Arabidopsis thaliana: one gene and its partners. The protein of the gene in region 1 interacts with the protein of each later gene in a pairwise test. Each region holds a gene or a part of one and is shown on either strand. Other genes may lie near its edges. The genes, in order: AT5G52547, ATAUX2-11 and AT1G66820.

Region 1 (11,440 bases):
TACTTTGTTAGCAAAGCCCCAGCCTTGCAGATAGCTAATGACACAGCAATTCCAGTAGCTATCAGTAGCACAGGAATTTTATTTTTAGTTTCAGAAGCTTCGTTCGTCTCTGCATCTACAACTGCCATAGGAGAGTAATACCTAAGTCAGAGTTCAGAAACTGGCTAGAATCGACATGAAAAAGGAATGGAACAGAACATTTTCCTCTGGATATCTAATCCAATAGAAATGACTTTCTAACTGAATATTTACACAACCTCAATGATCAATTCCAAAGGAAGCCAAATCAAACGAAACCAGACATCACAGCAACATTCAGACTTACTAGTAGTCGGTGGCGGTACAGCTTCTGCAGGTATTTTGGAGCCCAAAGCAAACAATGTCGTGAAATATACAGCGCATATAACATTATCAGCAGCCAGTCCAGCAGCTAAAACCGATGGTGTAACTCCAAGAGCATTTGATATAGCTACGTAGTTGACGGCTGGAAAAAAAATAATCACAATGCAACTTATACACCACTATAGAAATAAGTGAACAATATTGGCGCGTCAAGAAAATGGAAGATACAGATGCAGATGTTCAAAGACATGAATTTTTTGTTACCTCCACCGATATGTCTTCCCATGAGAGCAGCTGCAATCTTCCAACTATCAGGGCCAAGTGACTTCATTGGCACTAAATAGTATGCCAGAGCTGTACCCACCGTTGTGGCAACTGTTATGAAATAGCAAAGGCTCAGGTTTTTCTGATAATTCAAAGTCAGAAATATCAAGAGCATAACCATAGGAATAGTGTGAATGTTATGATCCTTATACCTGATCCAATCAAAAAGGCCAAGAGAAGCTTTCCAGTGGACTGAACCACACGACGCAAATCAGCTCTAAACAACAACAGAGGAACAGCTAATGGAAGCAGAAAATTCAACACAACAGCAAAAGCAGGAGCTTGAGAAGAAATGATCCCTAGATTACTAGCTGCAAGACCAACTAGAGTGCTGACTAACGCACCACTCATAGCGGCTCCGACCTTTGTCTTCTCCGACCTATACAATCAATCCCACACCATTTCCGATTTCAAACTTCACAATTGGTATCACACAAAATCAACTTCACTTAAGAATCAACACAACGTAAAATTCAAATCTCCGATCAGATAAAGTAACGATCGAAGTTCTATAAAGAGTGATGATCGTACCAGAGACCGAGAGCACCAGTAGCGAAGAGAGCAGTCCAAGTTCCCCATTCATCGTTGGGAGAAATGAGAGGCGTACTCAACGAACTCACAGTAACCGATCGGATCGGAGATGATGATTCCGGCGACAGAAACCTGTCGGTTCCGTTACGAAATTGCGACAACGAAGCAGGAGAGAAGCTAAGCCTTGAAGAGGTTGATTTAGCTGAGAATTCAGGTAGATCTTGGCGTGAAACAATGTACGAACGCCGACGAAATAGTCTCGACGACGACGGTAACGAGTTTCCGATCACATTGAGTAATGGCAAGCTCGTCGCCATTTGTCGCGTCTGCTTCACGACGAGGAAAAGGTGGAAAAGGGAAGTGATTAGTGGAATTGACTCAGTGTGCCTATTAGTGCGTCAACTTTTGCTTTCCATTACAAATTTTATATATAACACTGAGCCAAACCGAAATATTAAATCAAAATTGGTTTCGATTAAACCGGTAAACCAAATCAAATCAAACCAAAACTGAAAAATGGTCAGAGTCACAGAGTCACATAGACCCAAAGTTGTGTGTTTGAAAACCGTTTTCTTAAATTTTCTGTTTCTTGGGATCACGTTTCTCATCTTCTTCCAAAGCTTTGAGTTTGTTCTTAATGGCAGTTACTTTTTCGTCTCGGCTCATTTGTCCTGAGCTGCTCCCGTTTACAAATCTGGTTCTGTTTCCTTCTGGTAATGATCTTTTGGAGTGATCATGAGAGGAATCTTCTAGATGCTTCTCACTAGCTAGACGCACCACTAAAGGCCTACCACAAGCTAATCTCCCATGCATCTTCTCTTTCGCCAATTCAGCTTCCTGTATGCTCACTTTAGATGTAGAAATCAGGAGATTGCTCAATCAAAATCAAAACATTTTTCATTTCTTGAAACAATTTCATCCAAGTACAAATGCAAAACCAAGAGAGCCAGATTGTTAGTTACCTCTTTAAGGCTGTATTGAATGAAAGCATAACCCCGAGGTTCTCCTTTCTTTGGCCCGCGTGTGTGCCAAAGGAAGTCTTCTGATATGATCTTCCCATATGGAGAAAACATTTTTATCAACGAAGCCCTGTGACGAAGAGAAACTTATAAGGTATTGAGCAAAGTTTTGATCTATGGTGTGGAGGTAATATAACAAGCTGTGATTCACTTACTCGTTTATTCTAAGATCCAGGTTTCCAACATATAATCTGTTCTCACCTTTTTCATCTACAAACCCACCAGTATCCTGAAGTATATATACAAAAATATTTAGAAGATGACACAAATTAGTATAAAGAAAGAGTAGTAAACAAGATCTGTCATTGTAAAATGAGTTTTGAATCGCGTGTTTACAAGTTTGAACAAGCTAGACAAAAATTCAACTTGAAGAAATTCTTTAGAGATTGTAGTTACCATTTAGTTGAAGAAACAACTAGAGTGAAAAAGGTATTGTTCCAAGCTCAAGAACTTAAAAAAGAATGTATAGTCTGCAATTCTGCATCCACCTGAAAATAACAGCTCTCAAGAATTCAGTAAGAGTACAAATGCTTTAAGGCCAATACAACAATCAAACTATTCTTCAACACTTTAGATGAGAAAGAATTTAAAATAAACACTTTCACATAAGGACCATAAACCGAAAATAATGGCACACGAGACATGACCAATCTTTGATCAAAAGCCACAAAAGAAAGGCATAAATCAATCTAACAATACTCCAGTTAGTTACTACTCTCTATATTTGCTTAAACACTATAAAAAAAAACAGAGGCTTCTCCATGAGAATTGCAGTTGTTTAGTAAGCACAAAAGAAGATAAACCTTAAGCTCTCTATCTATTGAACAAGATCTGTGGTCAAATTTATTGTCTGTTCTAAGTGTGATTGATGAACTTAGAGTAACTATTCCCCGACATGAATCTTAATCTTACAATAATCAATTAAGAGAAACACCAGAAACAATTCAAAATTGGACAGAAATCCCTAAATTCATCGCCAAAACCTCATGGATTTCGTTGAGTGGTGGTAATTACTAGCTAGTCAACCTAGGCACCTACTTCGATTACAACTGAACAACGATGGAGAGAAGAAGCAGAGAGTTCATATGCAACTTGGGAACTAATAACAGATGAAAAATGTTGTAAAGATTTAGAGAGTATCCATGGAAAGCAACTTACAAAGCTAAAGCGTGATCTCACAGACGCAGACTTCAATAAAAAAAAAAAAGCAGGAGCAGCAGAATCGGAATTTATGGCTGTAACCAGTAAAGGACTATCCGGTTAAACGAGAAAACCGAACCGGTGATTCGGACAAAATTAGTCAATTGTCATTCATCAAGTTATAAAGCCAGCTGACTTTATTAAACGACGTCGCTTCATTTTAACCAAATAAAAGCATCTCCATATTTACCAATTGAAATAATACAAAATCAAAAGTTTGGGATACATCTGAAGGGTTTTTACCTTTTAAATTTTAACAACCTCTATGAAAATATAAACATTTGAAAAAAATGTGAAAGTGTTTGGGATACATTTGACTCTCAAAACTTGACACAGACTCTACACTCTCAAAACTTGATACACTCACAAAATTTGACACACAAACTCAAGTGAATCTTCACACGACCATAGCCTATATACTTCTACACAAAACAGAACAACACTTGCATGTACTTGCTATTTATGCTTCCTTGAACTCTTGCATCTCGACATGGACTTCATCCTTTTAAACTCTGAAATCGAATTTAAATTCATTTAGAACAGAACACAAACCAATCCATTTGAACACTAACACAAACCAATTAGAACAGAGCACAACCAAACCAATTTAGAACAGAACACAAACAACTTAAGATTCATAACCTAACTGAACAAAAACAAGTGAAGAAGCGTTAACCGAAACAAAAAAGACTAACTTTCAAGACATAAAAGACACCATTCAAGCATTTGACAATATGTCAGTGATAAGTTTGTTCTTTAAAGCCATTTCAAGATCACTAAGCGGCGCTGTTTTTCGAAGTAGAGTCTCCAACAACGTCTTCTTGCTAAGCTTCTCGTTCAATTCAAATTCCTTCTGCTTAATCTCCCACATGCTCTTAATCACTGACAGAGTCCTTTTAGCTTTCGCGGCCTTTGCCGCCTTAACACCTGATGGACGAGACATTGCTTCATCTGAATGGCTAACTGCCTGGGAGCTTGATGACTGTGCAGAAGCTTGAGATCCATCGCTTTCTTCATCTACAAACCCACCAGTATCCTGCAAGGTATATGTAAAAGTATTTAGAAGATGACACAAAGTAACATAAAGACAGAATAACAAACAAGATCTGTCATTCTACAGTTGGTTTCAATCGCGTGTTTACAAGTTTGATCCTCAATAGAAAAAGCTAGACAAAAATCAACTTGAAAGAGTTTGAACTGACATGAACAAAAATTGCATTAGAGATTGGTGTTACCATTTGATTGCAGAAACAACTAGAGTGAGAAAAGTATTGTTCCAAGCTCAAGAACTTAAAAAAGAATGTATAGTCTGCAATTCTGCATCCACCTGAAAATAACAGCTCTCAAGATTTCAGTAAGAGTACAAAATAAACACTTAATAGTAATGTATCACATAAGGACCATAAAACCGAAAATAATGGCATATGACCAATTGTTCATCAAAAGCTACAAAAGAAATGCATAAACCAATCTAACAATACTACAGTAACTCAATATTTCCTAATCACTATTAAAAAAACAGAGGCTTCTCCACGAGAATTGCAGTTAGCTCTCTCTATTGAACAGGATCTGTAGTCAAATTTATTGTCTGTTCCAAGTGTGATGAACTCACAATAATCAATAGTTCAAAACAGCTCAATTAAGAAAAACACCAGAAACAAGCCAAAATTGAACAGAAAACCCTAATCACTAGTTAGTCAACCTAGTCACCTACTTCGAGCACATCTCGACACACAACTGAACAACGCTGGAGAGAAGAAGCAGAGAGTTCATATACTTAGGAACTAATAACAGATGAAGAATGTTGTAAAGATTTAGAGAGTATCAATGGAAAGCAACTTACAAAGCTAAAGCACGCAGACTTCAATAAAAAAAAGCAGGAGCACCAGAATCAGAATTTATGGCTGTAACTACTAACTAGTAACTAGTAAATGTCTATCCGGTTTAACATAAAACCGAACCGGTGATTGGAACGTCAAAAATTAGTCACTCACCAAGTCAGAGACCACGTCGTTTCATTTTAGTTAAATGATTCTCGCAACGTCCGAATTTTTACTTTGAAGTTTGAAGCTATTGCTAGTAGCCTAGTAGTATTGAAAATGCCAGTGAATTGAGAAGGATTAAATTAAGTACAACCACAAAGGAAACAAAAACACAGATCGTATGAGTCTCACTTCACTAAAAAGCTAAAGAGAGATGAAGGATTTGCACAGTGTAAGAGACGAAAAAGTTGTTTTGGTTGTGTAAAATAAAAAACAGCACACAAACTTTTAATAAGTTACAAATGCTTGGGAATTATGATACAGTCGTCATCTTCTGAACATCCCATTGAAGACAATTGCGTCAACGTCAGTATTCTCAGAGATCTGTAGTGACGACACAGCTTGAGTATCAAACAAATCAGCTGATATTCCCATGTTGTTGTTGTTGTTATCCCATCCCCTTGCGAAAGGCTCATATGAGACTGACGACCAGTTACTGTCTCTTGTTCTGTTGTTATCATGAACCGCGTAGCTTGAGCACCGTTGGTGAGGAAAGAATCTGTTTATTCCACCACTAAAAAGATTGATTTTGGTAGTATAGTCCCATGGCTTGAAACCTGTTTCTTGGTTTAGCGTGTTTCGGTATGAGTCATCACAATCTTCGCCAAGTAAGACGTGCAGAGCAACAGCCTCTGCTATGGCGGCACCTTCCTCATCCAATCGCCTTTGTTCCTCAAGTTTTCTAAGCTTCTTCTTCTCTAGCTCAGCCCTGATGGCTGCAGAAGTAGCGATGGATTTCTCAATACGTCTCTTTTTCCTCTCTGCTTGTTTGATACGCTCCAGTTCCTCTCTCTCCTGCTTCTTCTTTGCAGCATATGCTGAATCTTCTTCAACTGCTGCGTCTAGCTGTCCTTCCTTCTTCATTTGCTTCTTCTTCTCTAGCTCAGCGCGGATCGCTGCAGTAGTAGCAATAGCTTTCTCAAGACGTCTCTTTTTCTTCTCAGCAATGGCAGCACCTTCCTCAGCCAATCTCTTTTGTTCCTCAAGTTTTCTAAGCTTCTTCTTCTCTAGCTCAGCCATGATGGCTGCAGAAGTAGCGATGGATTTCTCCAGCCGATTCTTTTTATTCTCTGCTTGTTTGATACGCTCCAGTTCGTCTCTCTCCTGCTTCTTCTTTGCAGCATCTGCTGAATCTTCTTCATCTGCTGCCTCTAGCTGTCCTTCCTTCTTCATTTGCTTCTTCTTCTCTAGCTCAGCCCGAATTGCTGCAGAAGTAGCAATAGCTTTCTCAAGACGTCTATTTTTCTTCTCAGCTTGTTTAATTGGGTCCACTACACCTTTTACTTTTTTCTTCCTGGCTTTTCTAACAATTGGCTGAGCTTGTTTGCACATCGAGCTACTGCTATCCATGATTGCTACAAGTCTTTGTTTGCCTTGCTTTTGTTAACTGGCTTCTTCTTTTAGTTGGTTGTTTCCTTTTACTTTGATTCTACCAAACTCACTACACCAAGGCGCGATGATCTCAATGACTACTACACCCACTCAGGTATGTAGGTATACCTCATTTTACGGACAATACAATCCCAAACAGAAACAACAGGAGATAAGAGAAGGGAGACGTTGTAGGAGTTTGCAGAGTTATCCTTTGAAAGCATTCGTCCTAATTTCCAACATCCCTTAACTTCTCCCATTTTCTACAAAAGAAAACAATACTAGATTAGACTTGCGTTAACAGGGATCTCAAAAATAATATACCAAACCAAACCAACCCATCTGCTTTCTTAACCTAATGAAAGCTGCACGACCACACAGTTCTATTTTCTATATGGCTATATGCAAAAACATTAAACAAGAAAGCTTTTTCACAACCAGATGTTACCCAGCTGATTACTTAATTACTCACTCAGGTTACCAACCTATAAACACAATTGCACAAGGGACCTAGAAGATACAGTGATTCAAAAGAACTAACACTGGTCAACAAACCAAGATAAATCAACCAAAGTTGAATGTACATACTCTCGATCAACATTGAAACCCAAATTCGGAAAGCTAGCCACAAACTACACAAAGTAATCCACGAAACATGGACATAAAAAGTCAATTTGAAACAAATCATAAGCCAAATTTAACGAAATTCATACTGCGCACACTAAATCCGGGACAAACTGCGATCGGATGAATCAACCTATAATTATCATTCAGAAACTAATGCATACACCAAAATCAAATCAAAGCAAACACGAAACGAGTAGGTCGATTCAGAGATCAAAACCTAAGGCAATCATAAAGTATTACAAAATCGACTCAAATTGGATTGATCTATGGAAATTGAAGAAGATTGAATCGAAGCAATTATGAAAAGGAATTGGATCCTAACCTCGGCAAAATGGCATAGAAGCAGACTACCTCGACTAACTTCTCCTGAGATTTATCGGATAGAAAGAGAGAGAGAGAGAGAGACCAAATCGCGGACGTAAAGTTACTACTTCGATCCAGAGAGAATAAACGCAGAGACGAGAGAAAGAAGATTTTGAGAAAGAAGATTTTGAGAAAGAAGAGACACTGGAGCGGAGCAATTATGTTATATTTAATCCAATTAGAAAGTAACACGTGGTGGATGATGTGTTGAGTGGAGGTTTTCGATTGGGATTTAGGGACCTAAAACTTGATTAGTCAATGATATATGTATTGGATCCACATATATTTTTCAGCCGTTAGATTCGACAAGTATTGCCATTAATATTTGATAATGAACGGCTGAGATTGGATCTTAGAGAAAGCAACAAGTGTATGAATGAACTGTCAAAAATAGAAAACCTCGTGGGCCTTTTCTGGGCTAAATCTTTTAGATTTTGATAGAAAATGTGGATGGGCTTTCATCGAGCTCCAGTTCCGCAGCGCTCTTCTCTAATATATCTTCTCCACGGTAATAATATGTTAGGTGGGCCATGTGTTATCAGAAAATTATTAAAATTGTGATTATTATTCGTAAATACATTGCTTAAAAAGTTAGTTAGATTTTGATTCGTTTCCACCAGACGAATCTTCGTAACGCATTTTCGTTGATTCACTTTCCAGCTTTATCTCAAACTCTCTCTCTGTCGTCTCGATCGATCTCCCAAATCTCAAATTCTGAATTGATTTTTTTTGTTTATAAACAAAGCAAACAAAACACATAATTTTGGTTCGGTCTTCTTCAATTTTCACCGACACAAACCCGTCTTTTCCTCTTCTCTCTCATTTCTATCAATTTTTCTCTACAATTCCCCAGTCGTCGAAGAAGCTACAGGTAAACCGATCTTCTCAATTTTCATCTCTTCTCGTCGCATTATGCTCATACCTCGCCGCGAGAGGATATCAAAAAGCGAGATTTGTTATTTTTGCATCCGAGAATTTTGGTTATGGATTACACAACCGAATTAATCGAAATTCTCTTTGTTCGTGTTTCCCTTGATCGCCACGAAAGTTTCAGATTTTTTTTTGGATTTCTTAACCGAATTTAGTTTAATCTTGCTCATGTTCTGTTTCATACCATGTTCTGAAATATTGTTTTTTTGAATCATACCTTTTGAAACTCATCGCCACCAGCTTGCAATTTGCTCGTGTTCTCTTCCATCATTCCTTTGTTAAGAGCCTCTTCATGGCTTCTACGGTTGATTCCAATTTCTTCTCATCCGTCCCAGCTCTTCACAGTAACCTCGGACTTTTGTCTCCTGATCAGGTTTCTATACTTCTGCACTCTGTTATATGTTTGTGTCTGGACTAGTGATCCATTCTTTTCTTATAATTGTCTTCCATTTCGTGATCTGGTTTTCGTGGCAGATCGAACTGGCGAAGATCTTATTAGAAAATGGTCAGAGTCATCTCTTCCAACAATGGCCTGAACTCGGTGTTGATGATAAAGAGAAGCTAGCTTTTTTCGATCAGGTTTTTTCTTTATGTTTTTTTTCTTACATCTCAGTGTTTTGATGAATGAACGTAGAAACAGGACTTAAGACATCGTTTTGGAATGAAAATGTTTATTAGATTGCTCGCTTAAATTCAAGCTATCCTGGAGGTTTAGCAGCATACATTAAGACTGCGAAAGAGCTTCTCGCTGATTCGAAAGTAGGGAAAAACCCATATGATGGTTTCTCTCCTTCTGTAAGTATCATCAAATCTTCTTTTTTTGTTGGTATGAATTCAAAAGTTCATTGTTTTATGTTGTCTCTGTTGGTTTTTAACAAAAGGTTCTTGTGGTTCTTGCAGGTCCCTTCAGGAGAAAATCTCACTTTTGGTACTGACAACTTCATCGAAATGGAAAAAAGAGGTGTCGTCGAAGCTAGGAATGCTGCTTTTGTTCTGGTTGCTGGTGGTCTTGGCGAGCGTCTTGGTTACAATGGAATCAAGGTACATAGTGAACAATGTTTCATTTACTTAATCACTTACCCGTAGATAGAATAGATAGACCTACAAACAGATTTGACCCAGTTATGAATCTATTTCTTAGGTGGCACTTCCAAGGGAGACAACTACAGGGACATGCTTCTTGCAGCATTACATTGAATCTATATTGGCTCTTCAAGAAGCTAGCAACAAGATCGATTCTGGTATGTTTCTAATTTTTTAAATCAACGTAAGTGAATAAGTACTTTTTCACATTCCTCAGTGATTGTATATTTCTGCAGATGGAAGTGAGAGAGACATTCCTTTCATTATTATGACATCTGATGATACTCATTCACGTACACTGGACCTGTTAGAGTTAAACTCTTATTTTGGAATGAAACCTACTCAAGTACATCTTCTAAAACAGGTAAAGGATCATCTATTGAGTTTCCTAGACAGATTTTATGAAAACGTAAAATGTTTTGAGAAATAATGCACTATTGGCTACCTTTTTTCTAGGAAAAAGTTGCATGTCTTGATGATAACGATGCCAGACTTGCATTAGACCCTCACAACAAATACAGTATCCAGGTACTTGTGTTCATGTTAACGTTTTCAAAGCTAGTACAAATATTTGCAGGCTGACCTGTCGTTTTCTTTGCTACTCATAGACAAAACCTCATGGACATGGTGATGTACATTCGCTTCTTTATTCCAGTGGCCTTCTTCATAAATGGTAGTTCATCTATCATATATATCTTTTAGTTTTATAAGTCTGTTGACTATAACAATTTTTTTTTTGTTGCAATTTCAGGCTTGAGGCTGGTTTAAAATGGGTTTTGTTTTTCCAAGATACAAATGGACTTCTCTTCAATGTTAGTAGCAGCGACTCAACTCTTGTGTCTTAAAGTATTCATACAATTTTTGATGGAAATTCACAATTCTTTAATGACTTCATTGGTTCAGGCAATTCCAGCTTCTTTGGGTGTGAGTGCTACCAAACAGTATCATGTTAACTCTCTCGCTGTTCCTCGCAAGGCGAAGGAAGCTATTGGAGGAATTAGTAAACTTACTCACGTTGATGGTAACTTTAGTGAATAGTAGAAATCCACACTTGCTCAGTGACACTTTTCATATTTTCCGTTTGATAATCGAGTGGATGGATTTAAATGGTTTCCAGGGAGATCTATGGTAATCAATGTGGAGTACAATCAACTTGATCCTCTACTTAGAGCATCTGGATTCCCTGATGGGGATGTTAATTGTGAGACGGGCTTCTCCCCATTCCCGGGAAATATTAATCAAGTGAGTGTTCTTCTACTCGACGAGACAAGATTTGTCTCTGATCAGGAAAATTTCAAGACTCTAAATATTTTTCAATGCAGTTGATTCTGGAACTTGGTCCCTACAAAGACGAGTTGCAAAAAACTGGAGGGGCCATTAAAGAGTTTGTTAATCCAAAGTAATTCTTCTTTTCTCCTCCCTTGAATCTTCAGTGTTTCTCAAAGTAGATGCTCTGACTTTGACATCTACTTTCTGGATTATATGATAGATACAAGGATAGCACCAAAACAGCATTTAAATCTTCGACTCGTCTAGAGTGTATGATGCAAGATTATCCAAAGACATTGCCTCCTACGGCACGAGTTGGATTCACGGTAATTGTTATCT
Region 2 (10,944 bases), 3.8 Mb from region 1:
AGCCAAGAATCTGAGGGACCTTTGTTTCTGATGCGGCAACAAGTGAGCTAAACTTGGAGCGAAGTCAGTTCACTCTTTCATCTTGTAATTAATGCTTCCGCTTTATAGGTTTAGGTTTTGTTGTTTACTTCGGAGGTTTAGTGTGAGTTGGATTTGCATAGAGTTGGTTGGGTTTTTTTAAAGAGTAGAGATCTATTAAATTTTATAAAATTTTGTGTATTTTTACAAGTGTAGTTATAAAAATCCAATGGACATCCATGGTTTTCTCAAAGTTTTCCTTTATAAAAGAAAATTAAGGTTATGATTAAGTTGTATCAAGACTATATAAGGGTCTCTATTGATTCATAACCACTAAGAGAGAGTTGGGTTAAAGGGAAGCTTTTGCTTAATTAACAAAGGTCTATAACATCCCAACATTATTATTTATAGAAGTTTTACTGTATATACAGTATTAGGGTAGCTGTTGTATAGCTTATAATATTCAATATTGTTACTACTTTGGAAGTAAATATTCATCAGATTCGTCCAACAAGAAACTTGACTAATATGTACCTACCAGAAATTAAATAATAATGTTTGCATTTTAAAATAAAACATGTTGTAGTAGCACAAATTAACAAATAAATTGGCTTAAAACGCACTATGCAATGAAGAGACGACAACCACAACACATATTTAACATCAAGATATTCTCTCAACCACCACTAATTGTTACTATTTTAAAGCTAAAATATTCATCCAACAAGAAACTTGAGTTACTCATATAGGTGATGTTTGCATATTGAAACAACACATTTGTGTACAACATATTAAGAAAGAAATGGCTGGAAAAAGTGATCTTCCTGTGATCGCGAGAGACGACAACCTAAGTGAAGAAACAAAAACTCTGATCTCTTCACTTCCTACATACCAAGATTCTCATGTGAAGCTCTGCAAGTACCAAGGATGTTGGTATTACCACAACACTCTCCAAGCAGTCATCAACTACCAAAGAAACTTCCAGCCGCAAGACACCGACATTATTCTCGCGTCTTTCCCCAAATCCGGTACAACTTGGCTCAAGGCACTCTCAGTCGCAATCGTGGAGAGATCTAAACAGCCTTTTGATGATGATCCCCTCACACATCCTTTGCTATCCGATAATCCTCATGGCATAGTACCGTTCTTTGAGTTCGATATGTATCTCAAAACCTCAACACCGGACTTAACCAAGTTCTCAACATCATCCCCGAGGCTGTTTTCGACTCACATGCCTTTACACACCTTCAAAGAGGGCCTCAAGGGTTCTCCATGCAAGGTTGTGTATATGTGCAGGAACATAAAGGATGTTTTGATATCGGATTGGCATTTCAGGTCCAAGTATAGCAACAATGAAGTATCTAGAAGCACTCTTGAGTCAATGTTCGAGTCATTCTGTGGCGGAGTTAGCTTCTATGGTCCGTTTTGGGACCATGCTCTAAGCTATTGGAGAGGCAGCTTGGAAAACCCCAAGCATGTCCTTTTCATGAGGTACGAGGAAATGAAAACAGAGCCGTGTGTCCAGGTCAAGAGGCTTGCCGAGTTTTTGGGGTTTCCTTTCACTAAGGAAGAAGAAGATAGTGGTTCGATTAGCAAACTCTTGGAACTATGCTCTCTTGGTAATCTGAGCGGTTTGGAGGTTAACAAAACCGGAAAAACATGGATGAACTATGACTACAAAAGCTATTTCCGCAAAGGAGAAGTTGGTGACTGGAAGAATCATCTAACTCCCGAAATGGAGAACAAAATCGACATGATCATCGAGGAGAAATTAAAAGGTTCGGACTTGAAGTTCTAGATTCGTGTTCTTTGTGGTTTGTAGCTTTTCACATATGCATTATAATAAAACTACCTTCTGTTTCTTATGTTCCTTTGATTTATGAGTATTGACTGTCTTTCAATAAAATAATGCATAGTGATTGGCCCAAAAATCAAAAGTGTGAATTTGACACAACTCCATGTATATTCATAATACAACTATTTCAAGATATGATGATTGCCCGAGTAAATACCGATACACCTAACCGTAAAGGCACAATAAAATGTGTGGTATAATAGATTATTACTACTAACAAAAAAGTTATAGTATAACTTTATTATTTTAACAGCTCATTTATTTTACATAATTCGTTTTTTGTTTATTCATTTTTTTATGATTATAAGTAACAAAAATATGCACTAAATGAATGTTTAAATTTATTTTAACATAAAATAAATAGTGTTGCTTATATGGATGCTTAGATGGACACCCTAAATGGAGAGAGGACTCTCCTATTATATATATACAGGTTAAACATTATGCAATGAAACCAAAGTTTTTCATTTCAAATCGAACCCAAAGTCTTGCCACAATTCAAATAAAAACTACAATATAGAATATGGATTGATGATTGTTATTTGCTTCCATATTTCAAAACTATATGATCTATCTCTTGTAACTCTTAAACTGTTTGTTTTCTAGTTTGCACTCTAGAATTGGTCTTATATTGTTAGTTTGTTACCGACTTTTTGTAGAATATCAGTTATACTAGTCTCATGTATATTTACAAAATTTTGTAATAAATTCATATAATTTTACTTAGTCAATAACTGGACTTTTTCCTTGTAATTTGATAAGTATTTATTTGGCTGGTAACAAAAACAAAATAATTAGTAATTTACAGTAGATCCCTTTATATAACTATTGTATCTAGAAATAGTTGTACTTCTACGTATTGGGGAGTACCCCGAGTTTTGTGTAACAACTTCCGCTATATATTGTAAAGTAAAAAAATACCAATGAAGTTTGCTTTCCTTATCTGCCTAATTGTTACATCAGGTAAAATTTATATTTCACGTGTGAAGCAAATAACAAAAATCTATATACAAAATTTGTTATTTATAGTTTCTGATTTTGTAGTGATGAGTATCGTTACTGTTCGAAATGTTGAGGCGAAAAGGTTATTACTTGAAGAAATTCCTCAGTTGCATCATGAAGGTTCGCCGCAGGTAGTGAAATTACTGGATGATGACTGCATGGATGGATGTCATATGAAATGTATTCCTAACAACAGAATTACTCCTTGTTTATGTCTATGTTAATTTTCCGTTTTCTTTTTTGAATAAGATATGTTTTCACTAATAATAAAACTTTGTTGCATAGTCCATACAAAAAATATTGAACATTATGTAAAAAAATTCAAAAAAGATAGTTAAGAACAAATTCAACATGGAAGAGGTGATGCCTAATTTTTCATCAAACCAGCCACCATTAGAATAATCACTAGGATGATATAAAAGCATATATATTGCCCACCAACTATAACTTATGAAGCTGTATATGTATGATCATGTGTGTAGCTGTTTTATATCATTTATTGGATCCAACGGTGGATCAATCCAACATAGAGTCCAAAAGAACCGGAACCGGAGAGAATGCCATGAACCGGTTTGTTGTTAGATACGTCTCATTTTCAGTATTTGATTTCTAGCTAAATAAGCTAGTCATGAACTTAAATCTCTAACGCCAACCATGCAATGAAACCAACTTTTCACATTTCAAATCGAACCCAAAGTCTTGTCGTCTACCGTGTAACAATAAATACCAAACTCACTACCTTTAAAATTCTCCTTTTTGAGACCAATTCGGATAAAACCAACAATCTCCTAAATGTTCACTTCCCAAATGTCGTAATCCATAAATCATACTCAAGAAGAAGGATTTAGACTATTAGGAGGTCATGTGCCAAAAATAACATAATACTAATGATAAATTAATCACAAATATTTAAGCACCATTTAGAATCATCAATCACAGTGGATTAGTGTTGGATTTGATTCTATTGAAATCCATGACTGAATAATACCCCTTAATGTGTAACGATTCAAAACTTTTTCTACAGAAAAAAAAAATTTGAAATCGAGACTAAACAAACTTAGGATAAAAAAATAGTCTTGAACATAGGTTTTCAAATTTGGTCCTCCAAAGAGATTAGGTTAGGTTTGGTTTACATTGGTTCACTAAAGCATGACAAGTACATAAACTGCCTTGCTGTAGTAACATGAAAACAAAGTCAGAGAGAAATCAAAACCCAAAACGATAAGACCCCATAGATAATGAACTGTCTAAAGACAAAACCTTTTGGCAAGATTTCTTGTCAGTTTGTTCCTGGATTCATATATATAAAGATCATTAGAAGTTTCATAGAGACAGAGAGACAAATTAAGTTGGGACTTTCATGAAAACTAGTAAAGAAAAACAAATAGTATAATTTTAACTCAAATACTATTTGTTTTTCTTTACTAATACTCTCGAAAGTCCCAACTCAAATACTAGTTGGACACACATGAAGCTACCAATCAGACCCAATGAAACTCAAAATCTTATCCTCCAAACACAGAAAAAAAGACTATGAATATGTTTGACTTTAGACAGCTAGAGTTTCAACTCAATTGACTAGGATGATCTAATCCTGATATCACATGAACCACAAATAGATGAAAGAGTAAGTTCTTGGCTTTAAGAGAGAGAGAGAGAGGTGACAAATGCATATGGCAGACCACAGTACATGTAATGCTTACCCTACAATAACTCAATGCTTGAACAAAAGAGAAAGGTTTTTTATATTCTGCACATGAGTGTACCATACTCTACCCCACTTCCTTGAATTAGGGCTACAGAGAAATGAATCTAGACCGTCCTCTAAAATCAAAGAAAGTATCTTTCTTTGTGTTGAAGATGAAAGTGTCCCACAAATGTCCCCAAAATGATGGGACACACTTTGCCTCAAAGTTGCTGCTACTGTTTACTACCCGACAGCTTTAGCTTTTGCCTTTGTCCTTAAATCAAGTTAATCCCATTTTTTCTAAATTACCAAAAAAGTGACTTTTCAATTCCTATAAAACAATCTTCTTCACAAAGCCTCTTATCTCATCAACAAGTCTTTCTCTCTCTCTAGACAACCACAAGAACACAAAACACACAAAAACAAAGAGGTTCTTTCTTTGAAGAAGAAATGGAAAAAGTTGATGTTTATGATGAGCTTGTTAACCTAAAGGCAACAGAGCTGAGATTGGGATTACCAGGGACAGAAGAAACTGTTTCTTGTGGAAAAAGCAACAAAAGAGTTTTACCTGAAGCTACTGAGAAAGAGATTGAATCCACTGGAAAAACTGAAACCGCTTCTCCTCCAAAGTAAGTGTTTGAATCAAATACAACTTCTCTGAAAATGTGTGTTGAGTTGTGAATCTGATCTAATCTAATCTATGCTATTTCTTGTTTTATAGGGCTCAGATTGTTGGATGGCCACCAGTTAGATCTTACAGAAAGAACAATGTTCAGACAAAGAAGAGTGAATCTGAAGGTCAAGGAAACTATGTGAAAGTAAGTATGGATGGTGCTCCATATCTAAGGAAGATAGATCTAACGATGTATAAACAATATCCAGAGTTGATGAAATCACTTGAAAACATGTTTAAATTCTCTGTGGGAGAATATTTTGAGAGAGAAGGATATAAAGGCTCAGACTTTGTACCTACTTATGAAGACAAAGATGGTGATTGGATGCTTGTTGGTGATGTTCCTTGGGAGTAAGTACAAATTTTCATTTATCTCTCAAATTAGTTAACTTATGACACAATCTTGTTTATGTATTTATGGTGTTTTGTTGTTATTGCAGGATGTTTGTTTCGTCTTGTAAGAGGCTAAGGATCATGAAAGGATCTGAAGTTAAAGGTTTAGGTTGTGGTGGTCTTTAACAAACCTAATTGAGAGATAAAGATCAAAGAGAAAGATTCAAAAACAGAGTTTTTTGTTCTGTTTCTTGAAACAGAGTAAATATAGCTCTGAAACTGCTCGGGTTCTTGGGGAGAGATGTTTCATACAATCATACTTTGTGAATGTTTACCTCATCGGTAAAAAGAGAGATGCTTAAAATGGTCTTAAGCATAAAAGTGTGAGAAAGATCTAAATCTAAACTTTAGCTGTAACTCTGTCTCCATTAAAGAGAAAGGTTTTGTGGTATTAGAAAGATCTAATCTGAAGATTATCTTTGTGTTTTTCACTTTTTATAATGTTCTTATCGAACAACTTTGATGTTTTTGATGTAATTACCCATTTTTCTGTTCTGTTTCTCTTCAAATTAAGATCTGTCTTTACAAAACTGTAACACAGAACATTAAACCTAACTTGTAGATGAACACAACGAAGACAAATCATTAAACCAAAGCTGCTTTATGGTAAAAATAATAATCCCAGCTTCTAAACATATATCATTGGATTCTAGTTTCTTTAAACTTAGATTATACATGTTTAGTCACCAAGATTAAAGAAATAAGAAATCTAATCGAGCAGTGAGAATATTTTTGGGGCTTTGGAAATGTTTATATTATCTTTTGTTGTTACCAACTGTGACTTTGGTCCCCCATACCTTAAACAAGTAAATCTACCCAACTGTGCTAATTTGTCTCCACTATCACTTATAATAATCTATGAACCTTGGAACTAGAGTAATATTTTAAAATGGTATAGATAGGTTCATTGAATTTAGGTTTTTCCTTTGTGCACCAACAATTTTTACATTCATACCTAATGTTCTTGATGCAAGATGATTATTAAGTCAAGAATTTTACCAAATACTTAAACCTAGTTGTCTCGATGATGATGATGATGATTATGATGAGACAACAATCGATCAACAAAAGAAGGATTCAAGATTCTTGATGAGATTGGAAAACTGAATCTATATTTCTAACAAAAGTTTTTGTAATCTTCTTCTGTGGAACATATATATAAATGAGAGATTTAAGAAGAGTATGATCTTTGATCATCAGTTTCTGACTCTAACAAGGTTAGCTCTTGACCTGTTTGGTCGTTGCTACTACCACCAGAGATTGTCATTATTGGTTCAGACTGAGAAGTAAATCCTTCTTCTTCCTGTGGTCTCTTCTCCACTGTTTGATCCGAGATTAACACAATTGAACTGCTTGTAACTACCGGTTTAGGTTGATTAACATCTTCACGATCTGTCTTCTCCGGTAGAACATACGAAAAACCATATTTCTGAGCATGTGTTAGTCCTGGACATAAACCCTACAAAAACCCCAAAACAAAAGAAACTGACTTTGATGAAAGAAAGAAATATTTTTATTTCTGGTACTGGCCTTTATCAAACCGGTAACTGGAAAAGATTCGTGGTAAGGAATCCGAAAGAAAGAAAGAAACATTTTTATTTCTGGTACTGACCTTTATCAAACCGGTAACTGGAAAAGATTCGTGGTAAGGAATCCGAAAGAAAGAAAGAAACATTTTTATTTCTGGTACTGACCTTTATCAAACCGGTAACTGGAAAAGATTCGTGGTAAGGATAATCGTTACTGTGATCATCGTTACTACTGTCTTCTCCAAGGACTTCTTGTTCTAGTTTTGTGGAATTGCTTGGACAGTATCCACCAAAGTAAGAGCAATGTTCCCGAGCTAGAGATATTTGTGGTGTTATTGGTAAGAGATGACCCTCAGTACTGAAGATGTACCTGAAGATTAAGTAAAATTATCAAGATTAGTGAATTGTTGTGGTGTTTGTGAAAATCAAGAGGTTAATGTGGAGGAGATATTTATACTTGTAAGGGCCATTGTCTACGAGGTTATCCGAGTCAACAGCTAAGTCAAAGAGTAGCCATAAGTACTTCACCTGAAATATTTTTGAAACAAAAACAAGTCAAGGCTTTAAGGTAAGCAAGTAAATGCATATTGAGAAACAGAGCTTTTCATGTATTTTACCGTTTCTGCGAGGAAGAAGCTCTCCATGTGATCTTCTTGTTTATGCAGTTCTACATCTGTGATGTGACAATAACCGCAAGGACATTTTGCCCCGTATTGCAAACTAGCCACAAAGTCACGTCCTGCATCAAGATACCTGTCGACGAGTAATTTGCATTGTGCAATTCAGTAGTGTGATCATCTTTGGATGAAGAATTGAAAAAAATATAACTAATTAATTTGGTGACCTGGGATCTCTGGTAGCTTTGTACAACCAGTATGTACTCTCGATTAATTCCGGCCTTAAGGGATAACTCTTTTGCCCATACTGTAAGGAAAATGAAGAATAGATATGAAGCTGTAACATCATAGTGCCATCAGACGTAATAAGTGACAAGTGATCACAGAGACACTTAAAATTAAGATAGAGTACCTGGACACTAAGTGTAGCAAGATTAAAACCCTCAGGGGTGAAACCATATCGTTTCCAGACGCTAAAGAAGGCAGTGTGAGTTCTTATTGCTGGATCAACGTCTCCAGCTAAAACCTTTTGAGAGAGAAACATAGATACAAAATCATAGTTAAATTTTCCAGCCTGAAATATATTAACAATTTGGTCAAACGTAGAATCACTATTTACCTGAAGTCCTGGCCAGAAAGCTTGAAGGCTGTTAAATACTGGCCAGACAATAGCTGCGGAATCCATATTGACTTCTACATACCTACGACAAAACTAGAAAAAACAGTAAGTCCAAACAAAGGAATTGTTTGTTCTTGTTTCTCTATCATACAAGATACAGAAAGCTTACCAAGGATCCTTGTGAAGGTACTGCATTGCAGATCTATAAGCTTCTTGAAAAATGTATAGATATTCCTCATCCCCAAATAGTATATAAGCCTGAAATTGTCAAATCAAACAAAAGTAAAGCGAGGAGTCTAGGACTATATCAATGCCGCTCAAGTTTTATGCAAAGTTGAAGAAGAACAGAAACTATTTTTTTCTGGATTTCTAGGACTTGGCCATTATATCCAAATAATTCAAATATCTTGTCAAGGGCTACGTTTACTAACCTTGAGTAGATACTCATAGAAGGAATCAATGCTTGTTCCTATACCAGCATCCTGCCAAGTAAACACTACCATTTTAGAATTTGGGTGACAAAAAAAGACTAATTAGTTTGTTGAAGCAAAGTTCATCAAACCGTAGTTCTTCTGACATATACAGAAGCCATTTTTTGTTACCTTCTGTGTCCATTCACCTGTAAAGACATTGATGTGAGCACCAACCAAGTCGAGATTTGAACGACGTGCCCATAGTCCCCTCACCGCATTCTTTGCAACTTGTTCGAAAACTTCAAATTTAACAAAGTTGGCCCATGTAAGAGCACGTAAGAAACACAACAAACTATGAAAATCAAAATTACATCTCTTGGAAATCCCAACGAAAATGATAGAAGAGTAAAGAGAGCTAAAGAGAAGTATTTCTCAAGGACTAACAGATTTATGATATATCTCAGTGACTAAACTGGTTTACTCACCAGGATCATTTGTTAAACGACTAAGCACGCCAAACTCTAAAGACAAAGTACCACCACCGGCAGTTGATGTTATCTGAACAAACAAACAAAGATGCATGAATAAATGAGTTTCCAATATAGGAATCAAAAGATAAGATCAGCAAGCAGAAAATGAGCAGTTTAATCTCAACTCTCTTTAACTCGTTGAGACCTAGCAAAGATAGGAAAACCAAGCATTTCGGTATCATTTATATTAATATGCACTCCAGTCACGGCACCAATAGCACAGATGAACAAATTAAATAAGTAAGAATAAGATGTGAAAGCTATGAGAAGGTAAAAGAAGATGGTTTGCCTTGCTTTCATGTTTGTCAACACCGTACATCAAATTCACAGATCCAAATGGGATTCCTGTAGAAAATAACAAGTGAAGAAGGAGATGACAAGGCAATTCTCGCTTTCATATATGCACGTGTATAACTAAAAGAGCATACCAGTCGGTGTATCAAATGCAGGAAGCATTCTCCGTGCCAAATTCTCAGCCAAAACTAGTAATTCATTGTTGTAAGATGGAATTCTCATGCCCTGTCATCAGATTAGATTCAAATTCAATCTTACATGACAAACAACCAAAACCACTTTAATAAGGAGATTTTTAGACTTTGGAAGCCCGATAAGACAATTAGGAATCCTAAGACTAGTTTGCAGAATAAGCTCATATAAAGCCTAACACATTATAGAGCGCAAAAAAATACTTATCTCTTCTGGCTGAAGAATATACAAGTACCCTCACATAAGATAAAATCATGACGAAAGATATAGCCACGCAGAAAAAAACGTACCGTTGCATAATCACTTGCAATCAGATGAGCAGATAGTAACCCCCCAAGGACTCGGATAGTTGTCTCAAACACAGAGACTGTTTTATTCTGCAGTTAAAAAGACATGTATCATTTCATCAACTTCACTGCCAGGCTACATCATACAAAAGTTCTAAAAGGAGTATTTGAGAAAATAACAATTATAACTTGATCTTGCTAGAGAAGCCAAAACCAATCATTACTCACTATATTAAACTGAAGATTTTTACCAATCCATTCAACAGAAGAAGTGAAGCGCTCTCGGTCACCAAGTAAAGCTAATGTATCCAACGAGTCAATCTACACAAATGCCACCAAAACCATTGTCAAGTTTTACATAAGACAAAGCCTTACACAAGAGAAGGTTATATATTAAAGCTTACCAGAGTCAACGCATAGCCTCCAAGAGTATCTTCTCCTTGGCAAGATAACGGTCTCAATTCATCGAGTGGAAACGCATTGTTCATATATCCATCAAAGGCATGATAAAACATCCCACGTACCTACACTCAATGTGATCAAACCCATCATCAAATAAGGTAATTATCGAACAAAAAGGTCAAAGCTGCAACTCCACTATCAAACCAAGTGATCTCAGCTAGTTATTGTGTGCAAAACAACTAAATGTTCTTCTCTAACGGCTAAAGGACTTACCTTTACGACATAATTAACATCAATGAGTAATTACAACATCCAAAGATCAAGACTTTAAGTGTCCCAGAAGACTAAATTGTTCTAATACTCAATTTGGGGACAACTGATAAACCAATCGATGACCAAAATCGAAATCCAGATCTGTGGAGGAATGTTACCT
Region 3 (6,216 bases), on another chromosome or scaffold:
TTCAAGGCACAACAGTTTACTTTAGCTTATCAAACAAGCATACTGATATCGAAAACAGTCTAATATAGTAAAAAGCAATATAACATATACTGGTAACGTTACCAGTTAATACCACTGTTAGTACCAAATTTAACCAATAGACAAAGAATCCTCCATATGAAAGGCAAATCTAACCCAACTCGATCTTCCTACTCTTAAAGATTCACAATGTATCTTCCAGCTGGTAAGTAGCCCAATGACATTCTACAAACTTCATCGACCTTGTAAGTTGAAACCATTTTAGCAAAACAAGTAGTTTTAGATCAACTAATACATACAGTCATACAATACAGATCCTATGACTTAGACCAAGTTTTCTTTAGCGGACGGCAGGAACAAACTAGTTACAACTTCTAGTCACAAAATCGTCAGGAAACAGTTTTCTGCAGAGAAAATTGCTGTTCTCTTGCCAACCATAAACAGAACAACTTGAGACATAATACATCATCCGACACAATCACTGCATTCTTCTCCAAATGGTAAGACCAGCAAAACACACAGTTCGACATAAACTAACACATGCCCATCCTAAGATCTTAGTCTATGTTTATCAGCAAAACAGAAACTTGAAAGCCAGTAAGCAGAGATTACACATAAATACACAAACCAAGATAACCAACAAACCAAATCAATCTTTTCCCATGAATGTATTACCACCACTGCAGCAATTAGAAAGAGAAAAACTATAGCAGCACAACAGTTTAGGGAAGAAAGTTGCATACTTATGAACAAAGTAGAAAACTTTATCAATATAAATTTCATATCTTTGTTGAATCTAACATCCTTTTCAAGTCTCTCCTGCTTAATCCAAGAGAATACAAACAACATATCAAAAGAATTAACATCTCGAAGTATAAAAGAGAACCACACATTTCTTCAATTCTCCTTTCTTATCCATCCCTAATTATATTCCTATAATCCTATCAAACATTTACTTAACATCTTTCCCTTCCTTATTCCTATTGCAAGCAAATATGTTTCTTCCCAATTCATTACCCAGAAAAGTTACGATATTTATAAGGTATCAAATCTGAAATCTGTACACAACCACTAATTATTACCCTTTTTCAATGACCTTTCTTCTTCTCCAGATCAGCGAGTAAGCATCATCATCATCATCCTCTCTTGATCAGTAAGTGAGTGACGGAAATGGCAACGGTGACCGTACGGACACATAGCTCCGGTGACCATCATTCTGCAAACCTCAGTTTTGTAGCGTGGATGCCTAATCACAGGACGTAGCTCGTCGATTCCGTGAGCGAATTGGCAATTATCGCCGTAACAACAAGCTCCAGTCTCTTGCCATTTGTTACAAAGCTCCGTCTTCATCATCCCTTGACGATATACCTCAAGCTCTAATGCTTCTCTCTCCCCTTTTGTTTGTACTACACACACCTTTTGAGAAGAAGACACCTTCACAAAACATTTATGACGTCATTAATCAAATAAAAACAAATTTTAAATTTTAAAATTACAGTGAGAATTACCGAGTTAGAGCTGAGTTGACTCGTTTGGAGATCTGACGCTTCAAATCCATGGTTGATCTTGAGATATCCTTGAGATCTGACGGAGATGCTCTTAGGCAACGAGTTTCTCTCTTGATTGTTTCTCTTCGCGGAGCGAGAATCGGAGATCTGGTGACGGAATTGACGGTTATGGATCGGCGCCGGAGGAGAGACGGAGGAGGAGGATGAAGTAGAGATACGAATAAGTTTGAGTAGATCTGAGTTTTCAAAGCGGAGAGAATCGTTTTCGTGACGAAGAGAGTCAAGTTCCGTCATTAGAGATTGAAGACGGTTAAGGCAAAGCTCGTAATGCTCGTTGAGTTCGTCGTACTCGAGGATAAGTTTCGCTTGAAGAAGACGATGCTCTGTAGTTGTATCGACGCGAGATGGTGGTGAGGAAGAGGACGGAGGAGAAGGAGAGAGAGATTCCGGTGAGAAGATTGAGTTGTAGAGTGATGCGAAGCTTGCGGCGAACTCTTCTTGGTGTTTGTTGTTGAAGCTTTGTTCAGAGATCGGTGATAGTGGAGGCGGCGATGAGTTTATCGCCGTTACGCAAGCTAGATCTGTAACAGTAGACGCCGCGAGTTTCTCCATTGTTGCAATTTCTCGAAAGCTTCCTGAAGAAGATAACACAGAAATTGACAAAATTGAATCCGTTTAGATCTACAAAATCACAATCGGAAACTGAAACTTCCCAGAGAAGATAATAAGAGCGAGAGAGTACCTGAATTAGCTTTGAAACTTCTCAGAGAAGCGAAAGAGAAAGAGCGGTGAAATTAAGATATGAACGATGCTCTGTATATATATATATATATAGAGAGAACCAGAGAGGTGAGGAGGAAGAAGAAAGAGAGAAAGATAATATGCGGGAGAGACTACGAGAAGATTGTTACGCTACTTAATCTAGACCATACGATGAGATTATTTAAGGATCTGTTTGAGAAGCGAGTGTATTTAATTGGATAACGAATTGCTTCTTCATGGTTAAGTGAAGTGTAGAGGAATATTTCTCACCTACTTTCACTTTCGCGCCAACTTCAGAACCGTTAAAGATTTCTATGTAACAGAATATTATTTGTTTTTTAGATAACTTCAACAACAAAACTAGTGTTTAGTTTTACACATACAGTGAGAACAAAATTTAATATTCTATTTATATTGCTGTATAGTTTCTTAAGCTTAAGATTATAGTGACAATATTCACCATAAAAAATGTTAAATCCATTTGGTAGATCATATTTAGTCAATAACATGCATCTTCCATCCCAAAGGAGGTTTACTAGTTCGAGTATTTAATAGCTTAAAACATTAATAATATATTCATTAAGCAAGTATATAAATATGAACCTCAAGCAAAAATCTATTTTGAAAAAAAAAATAGATGGAAACAAAAAGTTTGTTAGGAGGGGAGGTTTTGTTTGTAACTTGGAGAATAAGGAAGTATGTATTGGTGTGTTTGAAGAAACAAAAATAAAGAAGAATAGGTCATTTTATTAAGTTTGGTTGGGCCAATCATGAATAAGAATAGTTAATGAATTGATGATTAAATTGGTTTTTTGATATATGCATGTATGTTTAGTTTCATGTTGTTAACGACCGTAGTAAGGTAAGGAATATATGTGAGTTTTGTTTGCTTAAAGAGCACAACTTTAACTAACTATGGTCCCTCTTTCTTTCCTATGTGTAATATACTTCAATCAAAATCTTTCGTTGTAGCTAACTAACTAGAAAATGTTTCCTTCCTTCTAACCCAACAACCCTGCCCAAATTACCTTCTTACCCTTTCTACGACATTTTAAAAACAAAATATCATATAACTTAATCCAAATCTGTATTTAACATTTTCTTGAAGAATTTGTATCTCATGTGTATCTTTTATCATTAAAAAAAACTGATAAATAGGAGAGAATCTGTAGAGACTTAAATGGGTTAAAGCCCAATATATGCGACAATAAGCCCAATAAATACCTCAACGCATATTCATCTTTTTTCTCAAATCTTATCTGATTTTCTCATCACTCATAAATTCACAATTCAGTGATCGTCATTTGCCCAATCACAAAACCAATGGGATCAACTAATAAACTCTGGAGCCGTAAACCAGACGTCAAAACCGGGAAATCAGAATTTCCGGTTACCAGATTCCTCCGTACACAAATCGATAACATCAAGACAACAACCGTCGGTCCCGGAATCGGCGGCGGCATTGGCTGCGGCGCTGGAATCGGCATTGGTCTCTCCGGCGGGCTCGGAATAGGTGCCTCTGAAGGACTTGACCATTCTAACGTGGTTCTTGGATTCGGTATTGGTTGTGGTATCGGGTTCGGGTTTGGATACGGATTTGGAGTTGGCGGCGGGTACAGTTTCGATGACATCAAAGAGAGATTTGACCTATGAAAAAAAGCTCCGGTTCATAATTCCGGGTCGGGTTTGGGTAAAAGATTTTTAAAGCATTATGTTAATTTTGTACTGTATTAACAGTTTTGTTAATTATATAAGTTCAATAAAAATATCCTCCCTTGTGTCCTTTTATTTTTCATAATAATATCACAATTATGAATGATTAACAGAAAAACCATAAAAATTATCACATGAAATTTATGAAGTAATCTGAAAATTATGAAGTAAACACATAATCTAATTAAAATTATTACTTTTCATTAATTAATAATAATTAAATAGAAGTTACCAATTTCTCGAAGCTCTCCAATACACTTCTCATGTGTGGTCTTTTATCTGGGTTCTTCTGCACACAAGCTAAACCGATCTTGATGACTTGAACCATACTATCTTCCAAATCTCTATCACGAGCTAAAACCGGATCAAGAACATACCAAGCCGGTTTATTTCTCTCACTAGCCGATTCAACCCACATAACCAAATCCATTTCTGAACTAACCGGAGATTTTCCGGTTACCATTTCGAGTATCACTAAACCGAATGAATACACATCCCATTTCTGAGACGGTTTAGTCATTTTTGAAGCTGCTTCAGGAGCTTGGTAATATGATTCTCTAGAGAGGATTGGTGAGCTTGTCTCCATGGGAGAGATTTGGTCTGATCTGATATCTGAAGACGTGTCGACGATACGACCTAGACCGAAACCGGATACTTTCGGTTCAAGATTCGGTCCTAGAAGTATGTTGCTTGTGTTTATATGTCCATGGACATACCTTTTGGGACTAAACTCATGAATATAAGTTAATCCTTTTGCTATTCCTCTCAATATTTTTAACCGGACCGTCCAGGTTAGTTGCTTGCATGACACGCTACCAGGTCTACCTGTCATAAATTTTTATGAATCAGTCTTGAATCTTAACTATGGTCATAGATTTATGCGATTTTGACACTAAAATTACCTTGAATTGCAGAACCAAGGTCACCATTTGGTATGTAATCATAAATCAGGAGTTTCTCTTCAGGAGACCAGCAACAAGCCTTGAGATTCAAGACATTAGGGTGCTTGATTTTCGCCATTGCTTCGACATCAGCTAGAAACTCTTTGAGCCGTAGCCAACCTTTATCTTCTAATCGTCTAACGGCTAACATTAATCCATTTTCAAGAACTACCTTGTACACAAGCCCGATCCTGCTCTTCCCTAGAAGAAAAGCCGAGGCTTTTAGAAGCTGGTCGAGGTCAAATTCGATTTCCGGGTCCATTGGCATGAAAACTTGTTGATTTTTGTTCTCATCTAGCGTTTCAGATTCTGAATTCCCAGTCTTGAAACAGAGAAACTCTGGCTTTGTCGTCTTCTTCAGTTTCTCGTTTATATGACATGTTCGGTTGTTTTGATCTTTGTTTGCACGAGCCGATGCTTTTCGGAGATAGTAGATGAATAATGAAGCAAGAAAAATGATTCCGGCGACTGTGCCTCCAGTGGCTGTAAGGATGATGCAGAGTCTAGAATGATGGTTGGCTCTTCTTGTATATAGTTGAGAAGGAACTACTTGTGTGTTTCTTGTGCTGCAAGAAATCTTTATCGGTAATCCACAGAGGAAAGGGTTCCCTTGGAAAGCATTTGGACCGGCATTCAACAGAACGTTGAATTTTGGTATCGGACCACTGAGATTATTGTAAGAAAGATCGACATAGAGAAGCTCAGGGAGATTTCCAAGACTTGTTGGAATCATACCTGAGAAGAAGTTATGAGAAAGATCAAGTGTACCTTTCAGATTCTCCAGACTTCCTACATCTTCGGGGATCGTTCCAGTCAAGCGATTGAAAGAAAGATTCAGTGTCCGAAGATGAACCAAGTTAGAACCTAACCCTGTTGGAAGATCTCCAGAGAAACTGTTCTTGCTAAGAACAAGCGTTTTCAGCTTCTTGCATGGAATAAGCGACAAAGAAATCGAACCGTTGAAAGAATTCTCCGAAAGATCCAGAGTCATTAGACTCTTCAAGCTACCAATCTCTTCTGGGACAAACCCGGAAAAAGAATTTCCAGAAAGCACCAAGCTTTGAAGCCCTTTAAGTCCAAAGAGTTCCACAGGTAACTTCCCTTGAAAGTCATTGTCTCTTAGGTTAATGTGACGAAGGGACAAGAGACTTCCAATGGATGGATCAAGAGAACCCGAAAGACGTTTATTAGGAAGACGAATCGAGACAACTCTCATATCATAATTACATGTAACACCTTGCCAAGAACAAGGGTTTGAATCTGAAGAGTTCCAA

Evidence for each region.
Region 2: the proteins of AT5G52547 (region 1) and ATAUX2-11 interact in a two-hybrid assay, tested with the Arabidopsis thaliana proteins (one large-scale study listed by BioGRID).
Region 3: the proteins of AT5G52547 (region 1) and AT1G66820 interact in a two-hybrid assay, tested with the Arabidopsis thaliana proteins (one large-scale study listed by BioGRID).

The regions. Positions count from the first base shown.
Region 1 is NC_003076.8:21,322,189-21,333,628, forward strand, and holds AT5G52547 (uncharacterized protein), read right to left. Parts: upstream 5,311-11,440; 5' UTR 5,260-5,310; intron 5,250-5,259; exon of another isoform or gene 5,119-5,249; intron 4,863-5,118; exon of another isoform or gene 4,744-4,862; 5' UTR 4,655-4,743; coding exon 4,652-4,654; intron 4,453-4,651; coding exon 4,135-4,452; 3' UTR 3,675-4,134; downstream 1-3,674. Other genes in the region: AT5G52540 (keratin-associated protein, putative (DUF819)), read right to left, coding at 1-121, 326-484, 607-717, 819-1,045, 1,198-1,514; AT5G52545 (RNA-binding protein-like RNA recognition motif protein), read right to left, coding at 1,771-2,034, 2,160-2,286, 2,372-2,445, 2,613-2,615; AT5G52550 (stress response NST1-like protein), read right to left, coding at 5,726-6,808; USP (UDP-sugar pyrophosphorylase), read left to right, coding at 9,042-9,122, 9,224-9,328, 9,428-9,544, 9,650-9,790, 9,891-9,990, 10,069-10,196, 10,289-10,360, 10,441-10,505 and 5 more.
Region 2 is NC_003076.8:17,545,453-17,556,396, forward strand, and holds ATAUX2-11 (AUX/IAA transcriptional regulator family protein), read left to right. Parts: upstream 1-4,726; 5' UTR 4,727-5,012; coding exon 5,013-5,191; intron 5,192-5,283; coding exon 5,284-5,586; intron 5,587-5,675; coding exon 5,676-5,754; 3' UTR 5,755-6,263; downstream 6,264-10,944. Other genes in the region: AT5G43690 (P-loop containing nucleoside triphosphate hydrolases superfamily protein), read left to right, coding at 821-1,816; AT5G43695 (uncharacterized protein), read left to right, coding at 2,797-2,836, 2,918-3,099; AT5G43710 (Glycosyl hydrolase family 47 protein), read right to left, coding at 6,800-7,087, 7,323-7,527, 7,615-7,685, 7,775-7,910, 8,002-8,081, 8,187-8,300, 8,394-8,475, 8,563-8,651 and 9 more. UniProt on the Arabidopsis thaliana protein: Aux/IAA proteins are short-lived transcriptional factors that function as repressors of early auxin response genes at low auxin concentrations.
Region 3 is NC_003070.9:24,926,482-24,932,697, forward strand, and holds AT1G66820 (glycine-rich protein), read left to right. Parts: upstream 1-3,405; 5' UTR 3,406-3,611; coding exon 3,612-3,941; 3' UTR 3,942-4,146; downstream 4,147-6,216. Other genes in the region: AT1G66810 (Zinc finger C-x8-C-x5-C-x3-H type family protein), read right to left, coding at 1,132-1,452, 1,527-2,138; AT1G66830 (Leucine-rich repeat protein kinase family protein), read right to left, coding at 4,219-4,826, 4,904-6,216.